Linked DNA regions of Caenorhabditis elegans. The protein of the gene in region 1 interacts with the protein of each later gene in a pairwise test. Each region holds a gene or a part of one and is shown on either strand. Other genes may lie near its edges.

Region 1 (6,729 bases):
TTTCTTATCTACTTGGTTTTATACAATGATTTTAAATAAATGTAAGTTTTCACCTCTTCTGCTTCCGTAGTCGTTGGCGAATAAAATGCCGGTACACTTTCTTTGAAAATTCCTGCTTTGTGCCATGCAATTTCGGATAACTTATTTCCAAGAATGGACATGTGATCATAATCAAGTGTAGTCACTCCGCAGACTTTTGGCTTCTCAACAACATTTGTGCAATCGTATTCTCCGCCGATTCCAACTTCGAGAATCATAACTTGAACGTTTAGCTTGACGAAAATTCGGAAAGCAAGAAGAGTCAAGAATTTAAAGTAGGCGGGCATATTGTCGCTGTGCTCTCTTTTGATGATGTCGTACACTGAAAATATTAATTATATTAATTTTAAAAAAATTAAAATAGTGATGTTACCATGGAAAAATTCTTCGGCAAACATCTGCTCACTAACCGGCTGTCCATCAACTTGAATTCTCTCTCTAACATGAACCAGATGGGGTGACGAATAGAATCCAGTTCGGAGCCCTTGACTTCTTAAAATTGATTCAACGAAAGCACAAGCGCTTCCTTTTCCCTTCGTACCGCTCACATGGATGATATTCAAAGCGTTAAGATCTTCTGCGGATATGTTCAGAGATTCCAGATACTTTCGGCATTGCGGAAGATTAATCGCTTGCAAGTTCTCCCTTTGAACACGTAACTTTTTGATAGTCGCCGCGTTTGACTGAAGGCCATTCAAAAGACGAACAGATTCTTCATAGCATGGTACAGCTTTTTCAGATGACATTCTAAGTTGGTTAGCACCGCAAGCTGTGGAGGATGTTGTTGGTAGAAGAATCCTGTTAGTTTGAGGTAAAAGTCGCATCATTTTTAGGTTTTTTTTCGGGGAGATTAATTGGATTATTGAGGTACTTTGATTAGTTAATTTTCATGCTAGTTTGGAACTAGTAGCAGCTGATTTCAGCCGTAGAAAAAAGAAAAACTCATTAAAAAATTATTAGTTGATAACATTTCAAGACTGCATTTTGACGTGACGGTGTATGCACACTTGCGCGTGAAAGCAACTCAAAGAGCGACCACTTCGATTTTTCACTTTTTTCTTTTTTTTTCCAATTTCATAAGTTTTTCATAAAACCTGTTGGATTTTAGAGTTACTCGATAATTTTTCGAATCCAATAAGCGTAAAACCAGTCAAAAACTCAACATAATAAGTAAAACTAACCAAGTCGAGCGAGAATGAAAACCACGAGTAGGGGCAAAAATGGAACTAATGATACGCATTGAGGGGCAAAGATGCATGTGATAATATGATAATATAACGTAGATTGATCATAGAACATGGTTTAGTGTTTGCGCGGAAGGACATTCTCTCCGTTGTTTGTTCTAGTGAACGTTCAACGCTAAACTGAATCCTCAGCTAGAGGGGCTGGCCATCAATCTGTTTCTCTAAGTTCGATCCCTCTAGACGTCATATGCCTTCCAAAGTTCTTTTTTCCTCTTTTCGTTCAGTTGTTTTTCCATTTTTCTTCTTAATCCTCCTGCCTTTTCCTTTTTATTTCAAATTGATTTTATCTAGAATTTTCAGATCTTCAGTCGATGTCAAATAAAGTTGCAAGAAGGTTAGGAAAATGCCTTTTCGTTAGCGGAAGACGATTCGAAAGTCGACAATCAATCTTACAATTGCGAAGTAAGTGAAAGTGAGAACTTTGTAAAGATCATAATACAATTTTATCCTGTAAAAATTCAAAATCTCGTGAAATTTCAAATTATTTCCAAGAAATTCAGTTAATTTTCAAGGAGAGCTCCTACTCATTATCACCAACTGATTAGCCTGTCAGTCTGGAAAATCATTAAAAGTTATAGCCATTTTTAATTTTCCAGAAAAGATAAGAAAATCGTCGGTATACTATAAATAAAACGGCTTGATCTCTGTCTTTCTCGCGGCATGTATTCTTTTTTAAATCACATGTTTTCTCTTCAGAATTTTCAAACAATCTTTTATTTTGATTTTTTGGATGCAATAGAAAATTCGAAAATTGAATTTTTCATAAGTTTTAGCCAAAAGCTCTTCCGCTTTTCCTGTAAAAAACCAGAAAATACCAAATTCCCGCTCCGTGCTCCTTGGCTTTCGCCAAATTTCGAAAATAGTGACGATTTCCGATTTTCAAATAGGATTTTCGAAAATTCTCGATTCTCATCTTTTTTTCTCTTTCGGATTTCTTTTTTGATTGAAAAATAATAATTACATTTTCCCTATTTTCAGTAATAGCATTCAAATTAAATTAAAAAAAAAATACTACAGTACTCTAGGCCCTAAAGGCGCAGACACCCATTTCCAAAAAATTGATCTTGGCAGGAGTTTTTCGAATTGTTTGTTATTTTTCGTATCCAAAATTTTCACATCAAAAACGTAACAGCTGAATTATTGAAAATATTTTTTCTGAAACCCGGAAGTTTTGTGAAAATCCAATTTCCTAAAAAATTCCAAAACACCACATTTTCATCACTCTTCAACACGAGCCTTTTTCTCTTATTTTCAACCTCGCGAACTCGATACATATATCTTTGATCTCAGCTGCTCCTAGGGAGCTAAAACCCAAAACTATTTTTCTTTTTCCTCTTCCTTTCCTCTCTCTTTTTTCCTTCTCGTTTCAACTCAACAAGTATCTTCCGCTGATCCATATTTTTCTCTGCGACTCTACCATCTCGTATACTATTTCATTGCTCAAGTCGTCTTCGCTTTGACACATTGCTGTGCGCCTACTGCGACGGCGGCTCTCTTTTTTCGTTTTTCGCATTTCCTCCAAAAAAAAAAATCTTCGTTTTTCGCGTCTCCCCGCCGTCTGCCTCCTTGTTATTTATCAATCTTCACGTCAAAACATGTCTGAAAGTTCAGTGATCCAAGGTGAGTAGGAGGATTTCAGTAGGAAAAAAGTTCGAATTAAAAATTGGGTTACGGTTAAACGAATCCAATTCCAGGCGTGCTCCGCGAGTCTTGTTGGCTTCAAACTGTGGTGTCTGTCTGTGAACACACGTATGTTCTATTTAAAATTTGTTGCGTAGGAAATTTGTTTAATACCAATTTTAAAAAATTACTTTAAAAATTGCGTGAAAATATGTTCATTTCAAAATTCTACTCGTATCATGGGACATTGTTTTTCCGTTTTCTCCTCAAAGGAGACTATTAATTGTAGTGAGTTTTTTCACGAATTGAGAAATAATTTCAACATTTATGAATAGTAGAAAATTGGGGAATGTAAAAAATATTCTAAACTTTTTAATATTATACCAGAAAAATGAGAAGCTCTGCCACATTTAGCAAATGCCCTAGAAGATTCTAAATCCAAAATACGTCACTGCAATCCGTTGGCTATAAATAATCTCTTCTGGGTCATCTATGTAAATTGACTGAAAATTTGGTATCAGATTCAATTTTTTGAACTCTACTAGTTTAGTTCTCAATTTAAACGATAATAAACTGTAAAACCTAATCAAACTTTTTGACAGTCGTAAACCATTTCAAATTTAGTATTCTGCTCCCTCTCTCTCTCGCTTCTAAAGGGTCTCTTTGTCTATACAGTAACTCTATCTATCAGTTAGACAGTGACAGAACAAAGAGCCATGTCGATAAGGTGCCCTGTGGGAGTTTTCAACGACGAAAAAGTACAGTGGCTCTTTCTCTCTTATCTTGACTACCACTACTGCTACCACTACTTCTGATTTATAATCGAAGTCCAAGTTGGGCGGGATGAAAATGTGAATATAAAAGGTGCATCGGCTGAATTAAAGTTACCACTTTGAGAATTCTTTGCCAAAAAGCTTAACACTCTTCTCTCTGCGCATCTCGTTGAAGGCACCGAAGTTCCAGTTTTCTGTTAACCCCTGTCTTCTCCCCTCTAGCCCTCTCATACAGTGTCACATTTTTTTGTCGGTGACAGCAGTCATATCGTCAGAGATGCCGAAACTAACTGTACTAATAAATCTTTACTTTTTTGTTGGAAATTGTGAGATTCTCGCAGCATAGAAGAAGACAGAGAGACAGAGAGAGAGAGAGGAACGTCTAAAAGGGGCGGAGCGTTCGTTGGGTTAACTATAAAATCGTCGAGATTGCTGGGGAGAACTCTTTTCCCGTCCCAATATTTACTTTTGACTTTTAGACACTTTGATCTTCGACCTAACTTCTAAATATTTAGCTTTCTTTCTTTTTTTCAAGTTAAAAAGCACGTTTCTAGGCTCATTTTAAGGTATATTTGATTAATTTTTTTAAAAATTATACATCCCAAAAATCGTAGGTAACGAATCGTCGCGATCTTCATATATTCTAAATCTAGATACAGTAACCCATTTTTAATACATTTTTGGAACTTATCCAATTTTGAAAGTTCAAGTTGTCTCCGTCTGTATGCGCAGACACCATACTTCAATTGACCTCTAAAATTTTGTCACGTGGCGACTTGTTCACATTCCCCTCATGTCTCCACCATGTCTCGAGTTTTTTCATGTCCTTTTCAGTTCAAGTGTTTCATGTCCACTTGAGCGTGAAAAAAGAATTAATTGAGATCTCTCATTTGACCAGTATAAGAGTAGTTAGTAACTTGTGAAATTTAGATTTATTTCGATATTCTAGATACTAGTAGTAAGAACTATGAATTCTGCTAACTCGTGTAAGTTGTTAAAAACTTGCCCTTTTTTATCTGATATTTGTATTTTTTCGTTAATGATTTTCCAATTTTCAGCCGAAACCCTCACTGACACACCACTCTCTGCCACACTCGACCAATCACAATTTTCAATGTTCAAAGCCGCCGAAATTGTGAATGCAGCAGCTGCCTGCGCTGAAGCAGAATGCATCGAACAGCTGAAAAAGACTGATGTCGTGCCATTACTGATGAACTACCTACTTGGAGAAGAACAGATTCTGGTTGCTGATCCAACTGCAGTTGCGGCGAAACTTCGGAAAATGGTTGTTGGAGGCGCCGGGAAAACTGTAGTTATCAGTGATTTTGACTATACACTGTCTCGATTCGCCAATGAGCAAGGAGAACGTCTTTCGACCACCCATGGAGTTTTTGATGATAATGTAATGCGGTTAAAGCCAGAATTGGGACAAAAGTTTGTTGATCTGAAAAACAAGTATTATCCGATTGAGTTCTCGCCGAATCTGACGATGGAGGAAAAGATTCCACATATGGAGAAATGGTGGGGAACAAGTCATTCATTGATTGTCAACGAAAAGTTCTCAAAGAACACAATTGAAGACTTTGTTCGTCAATCGAGAATTGTTTTCAAAGATGGAGCTGAAGATTTTATTGAAGCTCTCGATGCACACAACATTCCACTTGTCATCTTCAGTGCAGGAATCGGAAACATCATTGAGTATTTCCTTCAGCAGAAGCTCGGCGCAATTCCACGCAACACACATTTCATCTCCAACATGATTCTGTTCGATGAGGATGACAACGCTTGTGCATTCTCCGAGCCGTTGATCCACACTTTCTGCAAGAATTCATCAGTTATTCAGAAGGAAACATCGTTTTTCCATGATATTGCTGGAAGGTGAGAACAATCTAAATAACTGCATTGATACGAATTTTAAATTTTCAGAGTAAACGTAATTCTGCTCGGTGACTCGATGGGTGATATTCACATGGACGTTGGAGTTGAAAGAGACGGGCCCACGTTGAAAGTTGGATATTACAATGGATCGGTAAGGATTTTAACTTTAAATTGTTGAAAGTTATCTTTTTTTCAAAATTATTTAGACTGTCAATTTTTCCATAATTTTCTTCTCAATTTTCAGCTTGACGACACCGCCGCTCTCCAGCACTATGAGGAAGTCTACGACATTGTCCTGATTCATGATCCGACGTTGAATGTGGCTCAAAAGATTGTTGACATCATCAACTCATCACATTGATTCTTCACTTCCTTATTCTCTTCAAATTTTCATGTTTTATCTGTCGTGTCTCGCTGGCGAGATGGATACTGACCACTTTTATTCGCATTGTTCTTACCCAAATTCTATTTGCAATTATTCTTGAATGCTCGTTTTTTGAGCACCCACACCCGCCTCCTTTCACCGGTCATTGCTTTGTTCTGCTTTTCCCAGTCTACAAATTACCATGCTCCCGATTCAAAAGTCTGATACTAATCCCAGTTTGGCCTTTAAAAGGTCGTCTTCTACTCGCTAGTATACATGTATAGATGAAAAATAAAAAGCTGAAATATTAAGCAATGTATTCTGGTTAAATTATAAAGTCAAACGAATGAGATCCAAAGTGGAAACAAGGAGCCACTTCTAGATGAATAATTGAATGAATAGAAGATGCAGAGCGTTGTAGACAGGAAAATAAAATAAAAACCAAATCAAGAAAGTATATAAAACAGATATGATGCTCAACATCTCTATCGTCGTTGCTTCTTCTCCGGTGGGTAACCTCCGTCGCCATATGATCCGAACATGCCTCCTGGTCCTTGCTGTGGTGGATAATCACGGCCGGCTGAAATCGAGGAAACATTAATCTCGAACCAGATCCAATAAAACGAAGAATTTTAAAACTTACGCATTCCTCCTGGTGGTCCATTATCACTTTTGAAGATCTGCAATAATCGTTGGACTCCTTCGATCATGTTACTCCGTCCGTGAGATTTTGGAAGCATTCCTCCAGGACCTCCAGGTCCTCCCGGACCCCCTGGCCCTCCTTGTCCTGGTGGTGGTCCTCCCATTCCTC
Region 2 (5,836 bases), 2.8 Mb from region 1:
TCGGTTTGCTGTTGAATATTTAAAATTTCAGAAGCTTTGTGATATTCAATATCTATACGAAAACTGAATTTCAGATGTTAAAATGAATCCTACACAAAAGGTCCAAAACAAATGGGAACCTTCAGTGGGATTAGGTAACGAAGATAGATGAGAAGAAGGATTCTCAAAGAAAAAAAAAACGAACACATTATGAGGGTGTATAACTATTGACAATGGGTTTCTAGTGTTTTTTGAGTTTTTTGAAATGATGGGAAAGTTTTGTAAAATTTTGTGTCTTCTGGGAAAATCTATAAAATTAAGTTGTGAAGGGCTTGAGTGTTTGAGAAATTTATTTAAAATAATCCAGCTTGGCAGAAAGGTTTGAACATTCGAAAATAGTATTTAAAAAAACCTAAAGACCAAATAAATATTCTCGAAAAATTTCCAACTCTCAATAAAAAAACGATTGAAATACAGTTAACTAAAAGAATCCGGGCATCATTTCTGAGAAAAGAATAATAATTTTTAGAAAGGTAGGTACTTCAGACAATTTCTCCAAAAGACATGTACCATAAAAATTGCAATTGGCTGTAATTCGAAGTCTCTGTTTTTCAGAACTTGATATGTTATTTAAGAGAAAAAAACGCTACCATAAACTCGCGGTGAGACCCATTCATATAAATCCGTGCACACTCAAGAAAGAGTTTTAGAAAATTCGGATAATCAATGGATGGTCGAAATTGATCATAAAATATATAAAAAAATGCTCGGACATTGGGATGGCTTGAAAAAGAAAAGAGAAAGTTTCGTTCATCTTTCTATCTTTTCAGTTCCATTCGCCGCCAATCCGTTTCTGTCGTCTCTTTTTCTGAATTCCCATCTAATTAAACATCGACCACATGCATCCTTCCTGTCAAACACACACTTGCCAAACTACTGACTGAGCAAATTGCGAGATATCTCCAGGGAGCCATTGGAATTCTGTTATTTGGCGAGAATTTATGAGCCACCTGAGCACTAATGGCTTATAGTTTTAGAGCAGGAAGAAGGAAAGAGGAGGAGCCCTTGCTTCTGCTCCAGAGCGTTCGCACAATTGGTCAGGAATTCTGTGGATTGGAACAAATTAGGAAAAAATATGAATGCTTTTTATTTGCCATCGAGAATCGAGGAAGTTTATAACATAAAACCACGATCCAAAAAAACACAAAAAATGCAATAGAATAAAACCCCAAAAATACAAAGAAATCCAAGCATTAAGTTTATACAATTAAAGCTTTTGGCTAATACACAGAAAAATCAAGTAACCCGGAAGAATGTGTAATCAAAAAATGATGGTTTTTCTAAAACTGAAAAAAAGAAGCAAATTGTGAATCCTACTCGTTAACAGAGTTATACAAAAGAACAGCAAGAACAACACAAATGGTTCCAAGTACAAAATACATTCCAATGAAAATATCTGGAAATATGAGCATCGAAAGAACAACAACTAGAATGATAGAGACTGCTGAAGCCATTGATTTGTACAGATTATCAAGATATCGCATCACAAGAGAAATGTAGAGGCCTCCAACGCCAAGAAGAATCACAACTGCCCATACTTTGTCCGTGTAACCGAAGAAAAATCCCTTATCGGAGATCCGCGAAAAATCCGTGAGACAAGCGATTGAAGCACTGATCTGGAAAAAATTGGAAATTTTCGAAATTCGACTTTCTGAGATTAATTGAGCTTAGATTTTATTAATAAGTCTAAATTGGTTTTTAGTAATATTCAATTATTTCGAATCTCTATTTTTCAAACGATTTGAAAAAAAAACCCTAAATAGTTTCTGATTTTTTTTTAACTTTCAGAAGTTTGATTTATTCAATTGGATGGTAAGTAAATAAACTAGGAAATTTTGAAATTTCAGTAACTTACCACTCCACAACTGTACATTTGCATATTACGAATCCAAAATGGTGTACTTCCACCATCTTTCAACATCTTCTCAAAATAGACTCCAGCAAATCCAGCAGTTACACACGTTGCCAGTACAGCTGATAATCCGACAATATAATTTTCAGCAGTTTCTCGTTTTGTATTGGCTTCTGATGCAGAAACATTGTTCATTTGAACAAATGCTACTCCAAACATTAGAAGTGTAATTGCCATCCATCGACGAGTTGAGAACTTTCGACCGAGAAAGAGCATCATGAAAAAAGCTGTAGAGACGACTTTCAATTGAGTTGTGACCTGCAATTTTTTTCTTGAAAAAGTAGGGTTTTTTTGGATTTTTGAAAATAATAATTTTTGTTTTGTTTTGGAGAAAAAAAAAAGAATTTTTTTTTTGGCTTTTAAAGGGTTTTTTGTGAAAAATTAAAACAAAACATTTCTGCATCGTTTTTTTCTGAAAAAAAGAGTTGGGTTTTTTTTTTGGGAAAAATTGATTTTTTAATGGTTTTTAATGGATTTTTTTGAAAAAGAAAAAACATATTATTTTGAAAAACTCGATTTTTTTCCTGGAAAAACTTTTAATTTTTTGGTTATTTTTTGAAAATTTTTTTTGTTTGGTTTTAATGAAAAATTGATTCTTTTTGTTATTTTCATAGGAAAAAAGGTTTTTTGATTATATATTTTTTAATATTTCTATGACAATTTACCTGATAAAGTCCCGCATCCAAATTCGACAATCCCACAAAATCCAAATTATTCTGAAGAGCATACGCAAACGATGGGACACTCATTTTGGCAAGTTCTCGTGGAGCATTTATGTAATATTTACTGACTTGCTGTAAATTATAATTTTAAGATTTCAAAGAATACGGTAGATCTACCTCGGAAAATTGTCTGCTATCAAAGTTACATTCTTTGTAGAACATTGCAAATGTGATCACTAATTTCAAAATTTCGGCACATAAGACTACTGATGTTGAAGAATACATCTGAAATAAAAATGCATACTTTCGAAAAATTGAAATATTTGTATCAATTCTGTGTGTTTTTTTGGTGCTTTGGGATCAAAAAAAAAAAAATTTTTCTTAAAACCGTTTTCACACTTTGGATTTTTTTCAGAAAAGTTAAACATGATTTTTTATATTTCGCTATGAATTATCAATTGTATTTTATTGTCAAACTTTTTGAATTTTGAATTTTGAAAAAAAAAAATTTCTGAAAATTCAATAATCAAAGTCTTCCAAAACTATATTTCAAAATATATTACCATATCTGGATTTACAGTACTCCTTGTGTATTTGATTGTTAATGTGTAAGCTGTCCAAATGAATGTCATACTGGCAATAACATAGCATTTGAAGACAAAACTTGGACGAGATGATGACGGGGATTCTGAAATACTTGGCATTTTGATACAGAGTTTTGAGAAGGAATTATATAAATTTTTAAAATAACATACGAAAACTTAAAAAATGTCGAGAGTAAATTTTCCGATAATTTGTTTTTCGATTTTTTTTTTCAATTTTTACGGAAAGTTTTTTTTTTGAAGAAATACCAAAACTTTTTGAAAACTGTATAATATTAGAAACTTCCTACCATCCGCTTTCTCCACATCCTTATCGTTTGGCAGTAGCTTCTCCTTGTCCTCATCTTGATGTGATATATGTACATTTTGGAATTTCATTCCTGAAAGTTGTATATTTCATAAAAAATAATCAGTAAATATTGAAAAATGCTTTCAGAAAAAAAAAGATAAGAAAATGTGCTATTGGGGTATGATGTCTGATAAAAAGGGTGTATGTTTGTCTAGATCATTCTTCTCTTTTTTATTGTAAAAACGCCACGTTCATGCATAAAATTGAGAGGAAGTATCATTATTCACAAACGCGATGATAAAACCCATGAAATCATTTTTTGATACTTTTTAAAAGACTGAAAAATAGATAGATATTCTCTAGAAATGAAATATTTGAAAATGCATTGAGAACAAAAAAATATAACATTTTCCGATGCTTCCAAGCAACGCTTATGTTCCTTAGCAACATGAATTAACAAAGAAGGAAATTTCAAGGACAAGACACTACTTGACCTTCTGTCAAAGAATCTACTTATGAAAATTCGTTAAAATTGAAATTATATAGAAAATGTAAATATTGAATGAGTGCATAGAGCAGACTAGAAATTTCTATATCTTTTGAGATTCTCGGAATCTTTTCTTTTCAGAAAATTATGCTTTCTGATAAAATTCGGTAATTTGTAAACCATGAAAATCAAAATTTTAGGGCGTGAAATATTTTCTGCTGCAAGAATTTTTCTCTTAATTTAAGCACAAAAGCAACACAATTTCAAAAAAGTGTGTTTTCTGGTGTTCCTTGATCTAGTGAGACCGGTTTTTGCAAAGCCTACCTTCACAACAACCATAGACTATTTTATCCGATGACACCTGGTCCCTTCTCAAACAAAAGTGATGAATATTCCCCAATACCGTTTTCCTTTCAAACATGAATAAATGAATTCCATTAATTCCCTGCTTGGCTCCAGACTGTCGCCCTTCTGCGTCTCTAAGTCTTCCTATTTCAAACACTGTCTCATTTTATATATTCTGAGTCTCTCTACTATACTATGATGTCTAGTTGGCTACTAATGACGATAACGGGGGCGCAGGGACACAAGTTGACTGTCGCCGGGTGGAAACACATCTGTGAAGATGATTGCACAATTTGGAGAGACGGAGAGTTGAAAACAATGAGTAGACAGTTAGACGGTTGATGATGGGCTGGTGAAGCTGAGAACAATTTATGAGATACCAGGCACTTTAGAGAGGCTACAGAGGTAGAAAGAAAAAAAGGTAAAGGAGTGCGCATTTACAGGCTATTTTCAATGTTTCTTATTTATAGAATCTTCTTGTGATCTATTAGTTTTTACAATATTTCAAGAAGATTAGAATCATGGTAAGTTTTTATTTGTATTTAAGAATAAACATTCAAAAAAAATTCGAAATTTTGTAATTCAAATTTTTTAAAGAAAAAAAAAAATAGAATTCAAATTGTTGAACTCAATGAGTCTTTAAAATTTTGAAAAAAATACGAAAATCATTTTTAAAAATTTCAAAAAATGTAGCTACATTTTTTATGTTTTCCTATAAAGAATTTGTTTAAAAATTTCCCAAAATATTGTTGTGAAATAAGAAACTGAAATATCTTCTCGATATTGTCTAACCACTACCAGTTTGTAAAAATTATTATTACTTCCTCAAAACCAGGGCCTTGAGTCCTGGAACGTGTGTAATTTTTCAGCTACAGTACCCCGTGAACACCATAGACTTTGAAATTCTCAGCTTTCAAAGTTTGAACCTTCCGTTTTACATATTTTAATATTTGACGTAGTTTAAACATTTTTCCAAAATATGTGATTTCTACAATAAAATTCTTGAAAAAATCGAGACAAGAGAGACAAATAGTAATAGAGAGTACGGTAGCTGAAAAATTTCATTCGTATCAGAACCCAATTCCCAAGAATTCTTATTTTTCGAAAATAGATAAAATTGTATAACCATTTTTTATTTCACAACAAAAAACCACGAACCTTTCAGATAAACTTCGACGGAATAAAAAAGATCACGGAGAGACTGAAATGGAAACAAGGTAAGTCTCATTTTTGTCCAAAAGACCAATAGGGTGGGGAAATATTACAATCAACGGCGGAAATCTAGAATCGAAACTGAAATCGGATTTCTGACGGAAATAAGTATTTTACAGGAGACGAGGATGAGAATTGGGCAAAAAAGGCGATCGACAACTTGATGAAGAAGCTGATAAAGCATAACAAGCAGGCGTTGGAAAATTTGGAATTCGCGTTGAGGGTTCATGTGTTTTGTGTCTTTTGAATCTTTCAATTTGATCTTAAGATTTCTTTTTTATGAATAGA

The links. Proteins that work in one complex are often made in the same cells at the same time.
Region 2: the proteins of F25B5.3 (region 1) and ugtp-1 interact in a two-hybrid assay, tested with the Caenorhabditis elegans proteins (one large-scale study listed by BioGRID).

What each region holds. Positions count from the first base shown.
Region 1 is NC_003281.10:5,947,307-5,954,035, forward strand, and holds F25B5.3 (Putative cytosolic 5'-nucleotidase 3), read left to right. Parts: upstream 1-1,576; 5' UTR 1,577-1,594; coding exon 1,595-1,685; intron 1,686-2,977; coding exon of another isoform or gene 2,978-3,032; intron 3,033-3,133; exon of another isoform or gene 3,134-3,142; coding exon of another isoform or gene 3,143-3,191; intron 3,192-4,558; exon of another isoform or gene 4,559-4,643; coding exon of another isoform or gene 4,644-4,662; intron 4,663-4,734; coding exon 4,735-5,554; intron 5,555-5,602; coding exon 5,603-5,705; intron 5,706-5,798; coding exon 5,799-5,915; 3' UTR 5,916-6,229; downstream 6,230-6,729. Other genes in the region: F25B5.6 (Putative folylpolyglutamate synthase), read right to left, coding at 54-361, 413-837, 1,221-1,279; nono-1 (RRM domain-containing protein), read right to left, coding at 6,404-6,498, 6,562-6,729.
Region 2 is NC_003281.10:8,745,107-8,750,942, forward strand, and holds ugtp-1 (UDP-galactose translocator 1), read right to left. Parts: upstream 3,596-5,836; 5' UTR 3,594-3,595; coding exon 3,506-3,593; intron 3,302-3,505; coding exon 3,177-3,301; intron 2,899-3,176; coding exon 2,791-2,898; intron 2,746-2,790; coding exon 2,617-2,745; intron 2,210-2,616; coding exon 1,895-2,209; intron 1,656-1,894; coding exon 1,353-1,655; 3' UTR 1,110-1,352; downstream 1-1,109. Other genes in the region: Dwarfin sma-2, read left to right, coding at 4,858-4,860, 5,502-5,553, 5,668-5,771.